Callithrix jacchus: one gene and its partner. The protein of the gene in region 1 purifies or fractionates together with the protein of each later gene. This does not show direct contact. Links are inferred from orthologs where the notes say so. Each region holds a gene or a part of one and is shown in the gene's direction. Other genes may lie near its edges.

Region 1 (4,226 bases):
AGACATCAGGACCCACTCAGCTGCCTTTTTCAGTACCCCTCCCAAGCCCCCATGCTCCCACCACCATGGTCTCTCTGTCGCCTCGAGGTCCTCGGCTCCCATCTTCTTCATTCCTCAGGTGCATCTGTCTATCTGTCATCTCTTTTTTCGAGACAGACAGAGTCTTGCTCTGTCGCCCAGGCTGGAGTGCAGTGCCACAATCGCAGATCACTGTACCCTCAATCTCCCAGGCTCAAGCGATCCTCCTGCCTCAGCCTCCTGAGTAGCTGGGGCTACAGGCATGCACCACCATGCCTGGCTTATATTATTTTAATATATTTGTTTGTTTATTTATTTATTTATTTTATTTTGAGATGGAGACTTGCTCTGTCACCCGGGCTGGAGTGCAGTGGCATGATCACAGCTCACTGCAACCTCCGCCTCCCTGGATCAAGCGATTCTCCTGCCTCAGCCTCCTAAGTAGCTGGGATTACATGCACCTGCCACCACACCTGGCTAATTTTTGTATTTTTAGTAGTGACCATATTGGCCAGGATGGTCTCGAACTTCTGACCTTGTGATCCCCCCGCTTCAGCCTTCCAAAGTGCTGGGATTACAGGCATGAGCCACCATGCGCAGCCTTATTTTTTTGAAAGACAGGGTCTTGCTGTTGCCCAGGTTGGAGTGCAGTGGTGCGATCATAGCTCACTTCAGCCTTGAATTCCTCCTGAGTTCAAGCGATTCTCCCACCTCAGCCTCCCAAAGTGCTGAGATTAGGTGTCTGTCTCCTCAGTGGGCTGAGTCTGGCCCTGCATGGTAGGCAGTGGCCTTTTCTTTGCACAGCTGCAGTTTCCTTCACCCCAGCTTTTTTTTTTTTTTTTTTTTTTTTGAAAGACTGGTCTTGCTCTGTCCCCCAGGCTGGAGTGCAATGGCGTGATCTTGGCTCACCGCAACCTCCGCCTCCTGGGTTCAGGCAATTCTCCTGCCTCAGCCTCCTGAGTAGCTGGGATTACAGGCACGCACCACCATGCCCAGCTAATCTTTTGATGTTTAGTAGAGACGGGGTTTCACCATGTTGACCAGGATGGTCTCGATCTCTTGACCTCGTGATCCACCCGCCTCGGCCTCCCAAAGTGCTGGGATTACAGGCTTGAGCCACAGCGCCCGGCCTCTTCCCTTTTTTTGATGACCTCATGGTATCTTCTACCCCCACTCCCCACATTCCCTCCTCAGGCCCCCACATTTCAGAGCTGGATCCAGGGAGCAGAGCTGGGGCCTCTAGACACACACCCTTCTCTTGAGGCCACAATGGTTAGCCCTGGGCGTGACATGTGCTGTTATCCCAGGAGGCTGCCACTGCCCACAGTCCCCCTTCAGAGCGGCTCATGGGCCCCTGACCCTGCAGGTACTACCGCGGTGCTGTGGGCGCCCTGCTGGTATATGACATCGCCAAGCACCTGACTTACGAGAACGTGGAGCGCTGGCTGAAGGAGCTTCGGGACCATGCAGATAGCAACATCGTCATTATGCTGGTGGGGAACAAGAGTGACTTGCGCCACCTGCGGGCTGTGCCCACCGACGAGGCCCGGGCCTTCGCAGGTGAGCAGATGGAGACACAGGCATCAGAGAGGTGTGTGGAAGGCAAGACACCCCCTCAGTGTGGGGGACCTGGCCACAGCTCTGGTGTCCCTTCCCTGAGGAGTGGCTTGTGTCCTGGGCCAGGTGGGTGAGCGGGGTCCCTGAGAGTGTGTGGGAGCATCACCCCGCCTCCCAGCTCACCTGGGCATTATTCTCTGTTCCAGAAAAGAACAACTTGTCCTTCATCGAAACCTCGGCCTTGGATTCCACCAACGTAGAGGAAGCCTTCAAGAATATCCTCACAGGTAGCCCCGGGACTGGATGGGTGTGGGTAGGGCGCCAGCCAGGCAGGGTGGAACAGGAGCACTCTGAACCTTCACTGTTTTGTTTGTTTGATTTTTGCTTTCTTTCTTTCTTTCTTTCTTTTTTTGTCATGAGGGGACGGAGTCTTGCTCTTTTGCCCAGGCTGGAATGTGGTAGCTCAATCTCAGCTCACTGCAACCTCCATCTCCCAGGTTCAAGTGATTCTCCTGCTTTAGCCTCCTGAGTAGCTGGGATTACAGGCACGTGCCACCGCACCCAGCTAATTTTTGTGTTTTCAGTAGAGACAGTTTCACCATGTTGGCCAGGCTGGTCTCAAACTCCTGGGCTCAAGTGATCTGCCTGCCTCGGCCTCCAAAAGTGCTGGGATTGCAGGTGTGAGCCACTGCACCTGGCCTATTTGTTTCATCTTTTTTCCACCACCGCCCCTAACCTTTGTTTGTTAAACCTGCCGACCCACATGGGCACTTCACAGGGTCAGACAAGCTTTAGCCCTTGCTGGCACTGGGGACACAGAGACAACCCACCCCGCCCAGTCCCAGTTCCTGGAGAGGGGCCCTACCTTGACTCTTGGCGCTTGGGGGAGGCGGGTGGCCTCAGGGACCTGTAGCCCTTTGGCTTCTGGGAGTTTACCTCTGAGGGAGAAGGGTGCTTCTGGCCTTAGGGAGCGAGAGGCCAGGGCTGGCTCTGACCAGATGTGGGTCCTGCCCTGGCTGGGTGCGCAGCCCTGACCTTGTTACCCCGATGTGATGGGGGTGCTGTGGGGGCCTGGAGAGGAGCTTTGGAGTCCTGCAGGGAGGGGCCCCCTCAGCAGGCAGGGCACACGCTGGCTCACCCGACGTCCCCCTGTGCCCCCTTGGCAGAGATCTACCGCATCGTGTCACAGAAACAGATCGCAGACCGTGCTGCCCATGACGAGTCCCCTGGGAACAACGTGGTGGACATCAGCGTGCCGCCCACGACAGATGGACAGAAGCCCAACAAGCTGCAGTGCTGCCAGAACCTGTGACCCCTGCGCCTCCGTCCGCCCCTGCCATGGTGTCCTCCGGCCCCTCCCTGCTGTCTCTCTGTGGCCGGCTCGCTCCAGCCCTCCCAGTGAGCTCTGCATGGCCGGGGCCCAGGACGGACAGGAGCCAGTGCTACCCCCGTCCTGCCTGGGAAAAAGCTAGAAGCCCCTTTTTGCTGCACCCACCCAACTCGGGTCCCCTCGGGCGTCTTGGCCGGGTGGGGAGGGTGGCAGGATGGACAGGGCTGGCCAGAGGTGAGAAGGACGGGCTCATGGTGCCGGCTTCTCTCCTTTTCCTCGGCAGACTCCAGGGAGTGATTGCCTCCCTCTCTCTGTGGCTGGGTGACCCAGCCCATCATCCCCACCCAGAACCCTGCTCCAGGCCAAAGCCTGAAGAACCAGGCAGTGGGGTCCAGGGCAGGTGGAACTCCCCAGGCTCTCGGCACCCACCCGCTCCTCCGCGCATAGCAGCTCGCACAGGCCTCCCACCTCTGCCTGTTGATTGATGCAGGGAGAAGCCCGTCACCCTCTCCCCCACCCATCTCCTGCACGCAGCGTGCCCTCTCGGCCCTCCCGCTCCCCCTCCTCTGTCTCGTTTCCCTTCTGGTCTGGAACCTGTTTGCAAGTGAAGCAATATCTCCATGTTTTGTATATACAACCGCTCTTGTAGCCTTTGGTTTTTGTTATTGTAGAGAAACACAGATTCTTTATACACTTTGTAAGATTTATGCCAAACCCCAGCTCTCGACCTCTTCTTCTCCCTGTGGCCCCTGCACTGTTGCCCCCCATCCCTGTCCCCTCACCCATTACTAAAATGTATAATCTGACTTCCTGTACAGAAACTTGCCGCTGCGCCTCTGTCTTCTTTCTTTCCATCAAGTGCCCGCTCCTGGGCCAAGGCCCCTCTTGCTGCATGTTCCCCAATGCAGGCCAGACCCCCCATCTCCACGGCCCACCCCAATAGGGAACGGGAGGACCCAGCACCTGCCAAGGGCAGCTTGGAGGCCCCCTAAGCTGGCCCAGTGCAATTGGGGTGGGCCCTCTCCAGGCTGCCCCTATGCCAGGGAGGGAGGGAAGGCTACAGCTTGTCCTTGACCTTAAACTCCCCAGTCCTAGGACCGCAGGACTGCGGGCACCCCCTGGTGGGGACGGGAGTCAAGGGCAATGGCCAGGATTTATCCCTTTATCTCCTGCCAGGGCTGCCCCTCCCCTGGGGTCCTGATGAGGGGGGCTTGCCCTGCAGATGTTAGTGATGTCCCCTGTCTCTACCCTAGAGTGACACCAGAGGAGAGCCTGGAGGGGGAATGCTGGGGACAGCAAAATGTGTGGCATGGGATTCCTC
Region 2 (3,500 bases), on another chromosome or scaffold:
AGCAGGAAGGGCAAGAAAGGAGACCTGTACTTAGCACTCTGACCAGCACTCCCCTGCCCTCCCAGCTCCCTGAGGTGCACACCAACAGCTGTGACAACATCTCCCAGTTCTCTGTGGACAGCATCACCAGCCAGGAGAGCAAGGAGCCTGTGTTCATTGCAGCAGGGGACATCCGGTATGGCCAGATCACACTGCCCCTCGTTTTTCCTCCCTCTTTCAGGCACTTCCCGTCTCTTTGTTACCTTCTTATCCGTCTCAGTCATCTATTGTTGGCCTGTGTCTTTCCCTCTTCTATCATTCTGTCCTTATTTGGGGCCACCAAACTTGAGGCAATGAAGGTGTGTATAGGTTGAAAAATTACTTGGGCTACCAAAGAAGGAAATTAAATTTTAAAAGGATTCCAAAGGGATGAAAGCACCAGAGGAAGGAACTCAAGCAGTGCGTCTCAAAGCGACGTGTGTCAGAATCCGGGGAGAGGAAGGAGGCCTTGTTGAAAATGCAGATTCTAGAGTCACGCCCTGTTCTGAATCAGTGTTGGTAGTGGAATATGGAGGGCCTGGTAATCTTAATTTTAACATGATTACAGTCACTAAGTTAGCAAAAAGGTGTCACTGGTTATCTTTCCTTCTGTGAGTCCCTTTCAGCCTGGGTTGCTGTCTTCGTGTGCCCAGAATCCAGGACACAGTGCAGGAAATGTCAGTATAGATGGGCATGAGGTTGGGGACACGTCCTCAAGCAAATGATGTATTTTCTTCTTGCCAGCCGGCGCCTTTCGGAACAGCTGGCTCACACCCCAACAGCCTTCAAACGAGACCCAGAAGATCCTTCTGCAGTTGCTCTCAAAGAGCCCTGGCAGGAGAAAGTGCGGTGAGTTGGGTGGTGGGGTCTCTGAACCCCTCTCAGAGAGAGAGCCCTGGCAGGAGAAAGTGCGGTGAGTTGGGTGGTGGGGTCTCTGAACCCCTCTCAGAGAGAGAGCCCTGGCAGGAGAAAGTGCGGTGAGTTGGCTGGTGGGGTCTCTGAACCCCTCTCAGAGAGAGAGCCCTGGCAGGAGAAAGTGCGGTGAGTTGGGTGGTGGGGTCTCTGAACCCCTCCCTCTCAGAGAGCCCTGGCAGGAGAAAGTGCGGTGAGTTGGGTGGTGGGGTCTCTGAACCCCTCTCAGAGAGAGAGCCCTGGCAGGAGAAAGTGCGGTGAGTTGGGTGGTGGGTCTCTGAACCCCTCTCAGAGAGCCCTGGCAGGAGAAAGTGCGGTGAGTTGGGTGGTGGGGTCTCTGAACCCCTCTCAGAGAGCCCTGGCAGGAGAAAGTGCGGTGAGTTGGGTGGTGGGGTCTCTGAACCCCTCTCAGAGCTCAGAGGCAGTTGCAGGTGCTCACTGCACCAACTTTACTGTCTGTCAGCCTCCAAAAAAGGCTGTCAGACTCCCAGGCTGTGTGGGTCCTTGCCCTACGGGGCATTTGCTTTGGATTTTAGGTGGAAGCCACGTTTCTTGTCCTCACTCTGGCATCGACCTTTGGCACCGTTTACTTCTGTCTTCACAGGCGGATCAGAGAGGGCTCCCCCTACGGGCATCTCCCCAATTGGCGGCTCCTGTCGGTCATTGTCAAGTGTGGGGATGACCTTCGGCAAGAGCTGCTGGCCTTTCAGGTGTTGAAGCAACTGCAGGTAAGAGAAGAGAAGGAGAGAGAAGGGGAACTCAGCCCAACACCAGCCCACCTGAGGTGACTACACAGATTATTCTTCTGGGGACCACTTCCTGCCCAGGTCTAAAACAAAGGCAGGGTAAAGAAAAGCTAGTGCTCCTTTTCCCTAGGAAGCTTGGCCATAGGAACAGCTCCACAGCGGCCTCTTTTGGCCCTTTTGAGACCTGCACCTACCCTGTTCCAAGTCTGAACTTTAGAGTGCTAGGTTTGCCTTTTAGATGAAAACTTCCAAAATGTCCTGGCACCCTGGCTCAGGCCTGTAGTTTCAGCTAGTCAGGAGACTGAGGCGGGAGGGTGGCTTGAGCCCAGGAATTCTGGGCTGTAGTGTGCTATGCCAGTTGGGTGTCTGCACTAAGTTCAGCATCAGTATGGTGACCTCCTGGGAACAGAGGACCACCAGGTTGCCTAAGGGAGGGGCAAACTGGCACAGGTCAGAAACAGAGCAGTTCAGAACTCCCATGCTGATCAGTAGCAGCATCCAGACCGTGAATAGCCACTGCACTCCAGCTTGGGCAACAGACCCTGTCTCTAAGAAAAATACACGTTTGAAGAAATCAGCATTTCTAAACCGAAGCAAGCCAAAAAGAAAATTTTGCTGGGACAAAGTTTAGTGACCCACTTTCTCCTAGTGTTAAGACCAATTTATTTGTACAAGGTACTGAGATTATTTTCAAGAAATAGCTGTCACATCTCAAGGGGAAGATCAAAATGTGAACAGTTTACTAATGCACTACTGAAGTTTAAATCTGTGGCACAATCATTGTAAACATGGGGCTCATTTCTCTAAATTGATTTCTAATCTGAAATGACTAGAAAACTTCTTTTCCCATTTTTGCAAACTCAAATATCTGGTTTTTGGTATAAGATAGCCATTATTCAAACTTAATGCCTCTAATTTTAATGCCAACACAGTTGGTTGTAATCAAATTTTAAAATAATAATTTGGTCCTCCTCCCTTTAAAAAAAAAAACAAAACATAAAAACCTTCCCAAGTGGTCTGTAGCAGGTGGGTTATAGTGTGCTGAGGTATTGATCTGATCCCTCTGGGTTGGTCACCTGCAAGCCACTTAATCTGTTTAATACTGTTCGTTATAGCGTGTAAATATTTTCGTTTTCCAGAGACATCTTCTCTGGACCTAAATCCTTTCCTTTCCTTTTTCTTTTTCTTTCTTTTTTTTTATTTTTTGAGAGCGTCTTGCTCTGTCACTCAGGCTAGAGCGCAGTGGTGCAATCTTGACTCACTGCAACCTCCACCTTCTGGGTTCAAGAAATTCTCCTGCCTTAGCCTCCTGAGTAGCTGGACTTACAGGCATGCACCACTATACCCGGCAAATTTTTGTATTTTTAGTAGAAACAAGGTTTCGCCATGTTGGCCAGGCTGGTCTTGAACTGACCTCAGGTGACCCACCTGCCTCAGCCTCCCAAAGTGCTGGGATTATAAGCATAAGCCACCGCACGTGGCCTCTTTCTTCTTGTTTGAACTTATGGCTCCCATTGTCCCTGCTTGAGAAGGGATAGTGCAGTGTCCGGTTCTCCCTGCCTCTTTTGGAGGTATCACGTGATACCTTTTCCCACTGAGTGTAGCTTCCTGACTTTGTCAGTCCCTAGACTCCTTTCGAAACTCGCTGGTCCTCGCTGGATTAAGAGAGCCTTACTCACTTGATGGCTTAGAATCCAATGCCACCAAGGAGAGAGGTTGGAGAAAAGGGGACGTTTTAGCCTCCTTCTCTAGTCTGGAGAAAGATAAGAGTCCTGTATCCCCCATGTCTCCTCACAGTCCATTTGGGAACAGGAGCGAGTGCCC

The links. Proteins that work in one complex are often made in the same cells at the same time.
Region 2: the proteins of RAB11B (region 1) and PI4KB purify together in Homo sapiens (co-immunoprecipitation; 3 studies listed by BioGRID and IntAct, with this or other methods). This does not show direct contact. The link is inferred for Callithrix jacchus from reciprocal best matches to the Homo sapiens genes RAB11B and PI4KB.

What each region holds. Positions count from the first base shown.
Region 1 is NC_133523.1:7,923,744-7,927,969, forward strand, and holds the end of RAB11B (ras-related protein Rab-11B), read left to right. Parts: intron 1-1,384; coding exon 1,385-1,578; intron 1,579-1,781; coding exon 1,782-1,862; intron 1,863-2,741; coding exon 2,742-2,887; 3' UTR 2,888-3,726; downstream 3,727-4,226. UniProt on the Homo sapiens protein: The small GTPases Rab are key regulators of intracellular membrane trafficking, from the formation of transport vesicles to their fusion with membranes.
Region 2 is NC_133519.1:11,196,867-11,200,366, reverse strand, and holds part of PI4KB (phosphatidylinositol 4-kinase beta), read left to right. Parts: intron 1-65; coding exon 66-175; intron 176-762; coding exon 763-867; intron 868-1,534; coding exon 1,535-1,658; intron 1,659-3,473; coding exon 3,474-3,500. UniProt on the Homo sapiens protein: Phosphorylates phosphatidylinositol (PI) in the first committed step in the production of the second messenger inositol-1,4,5,-trisphosphate (PIP). May regulate Golgi disintegration/reorganization during mitosis, possibly via its phosphorylation.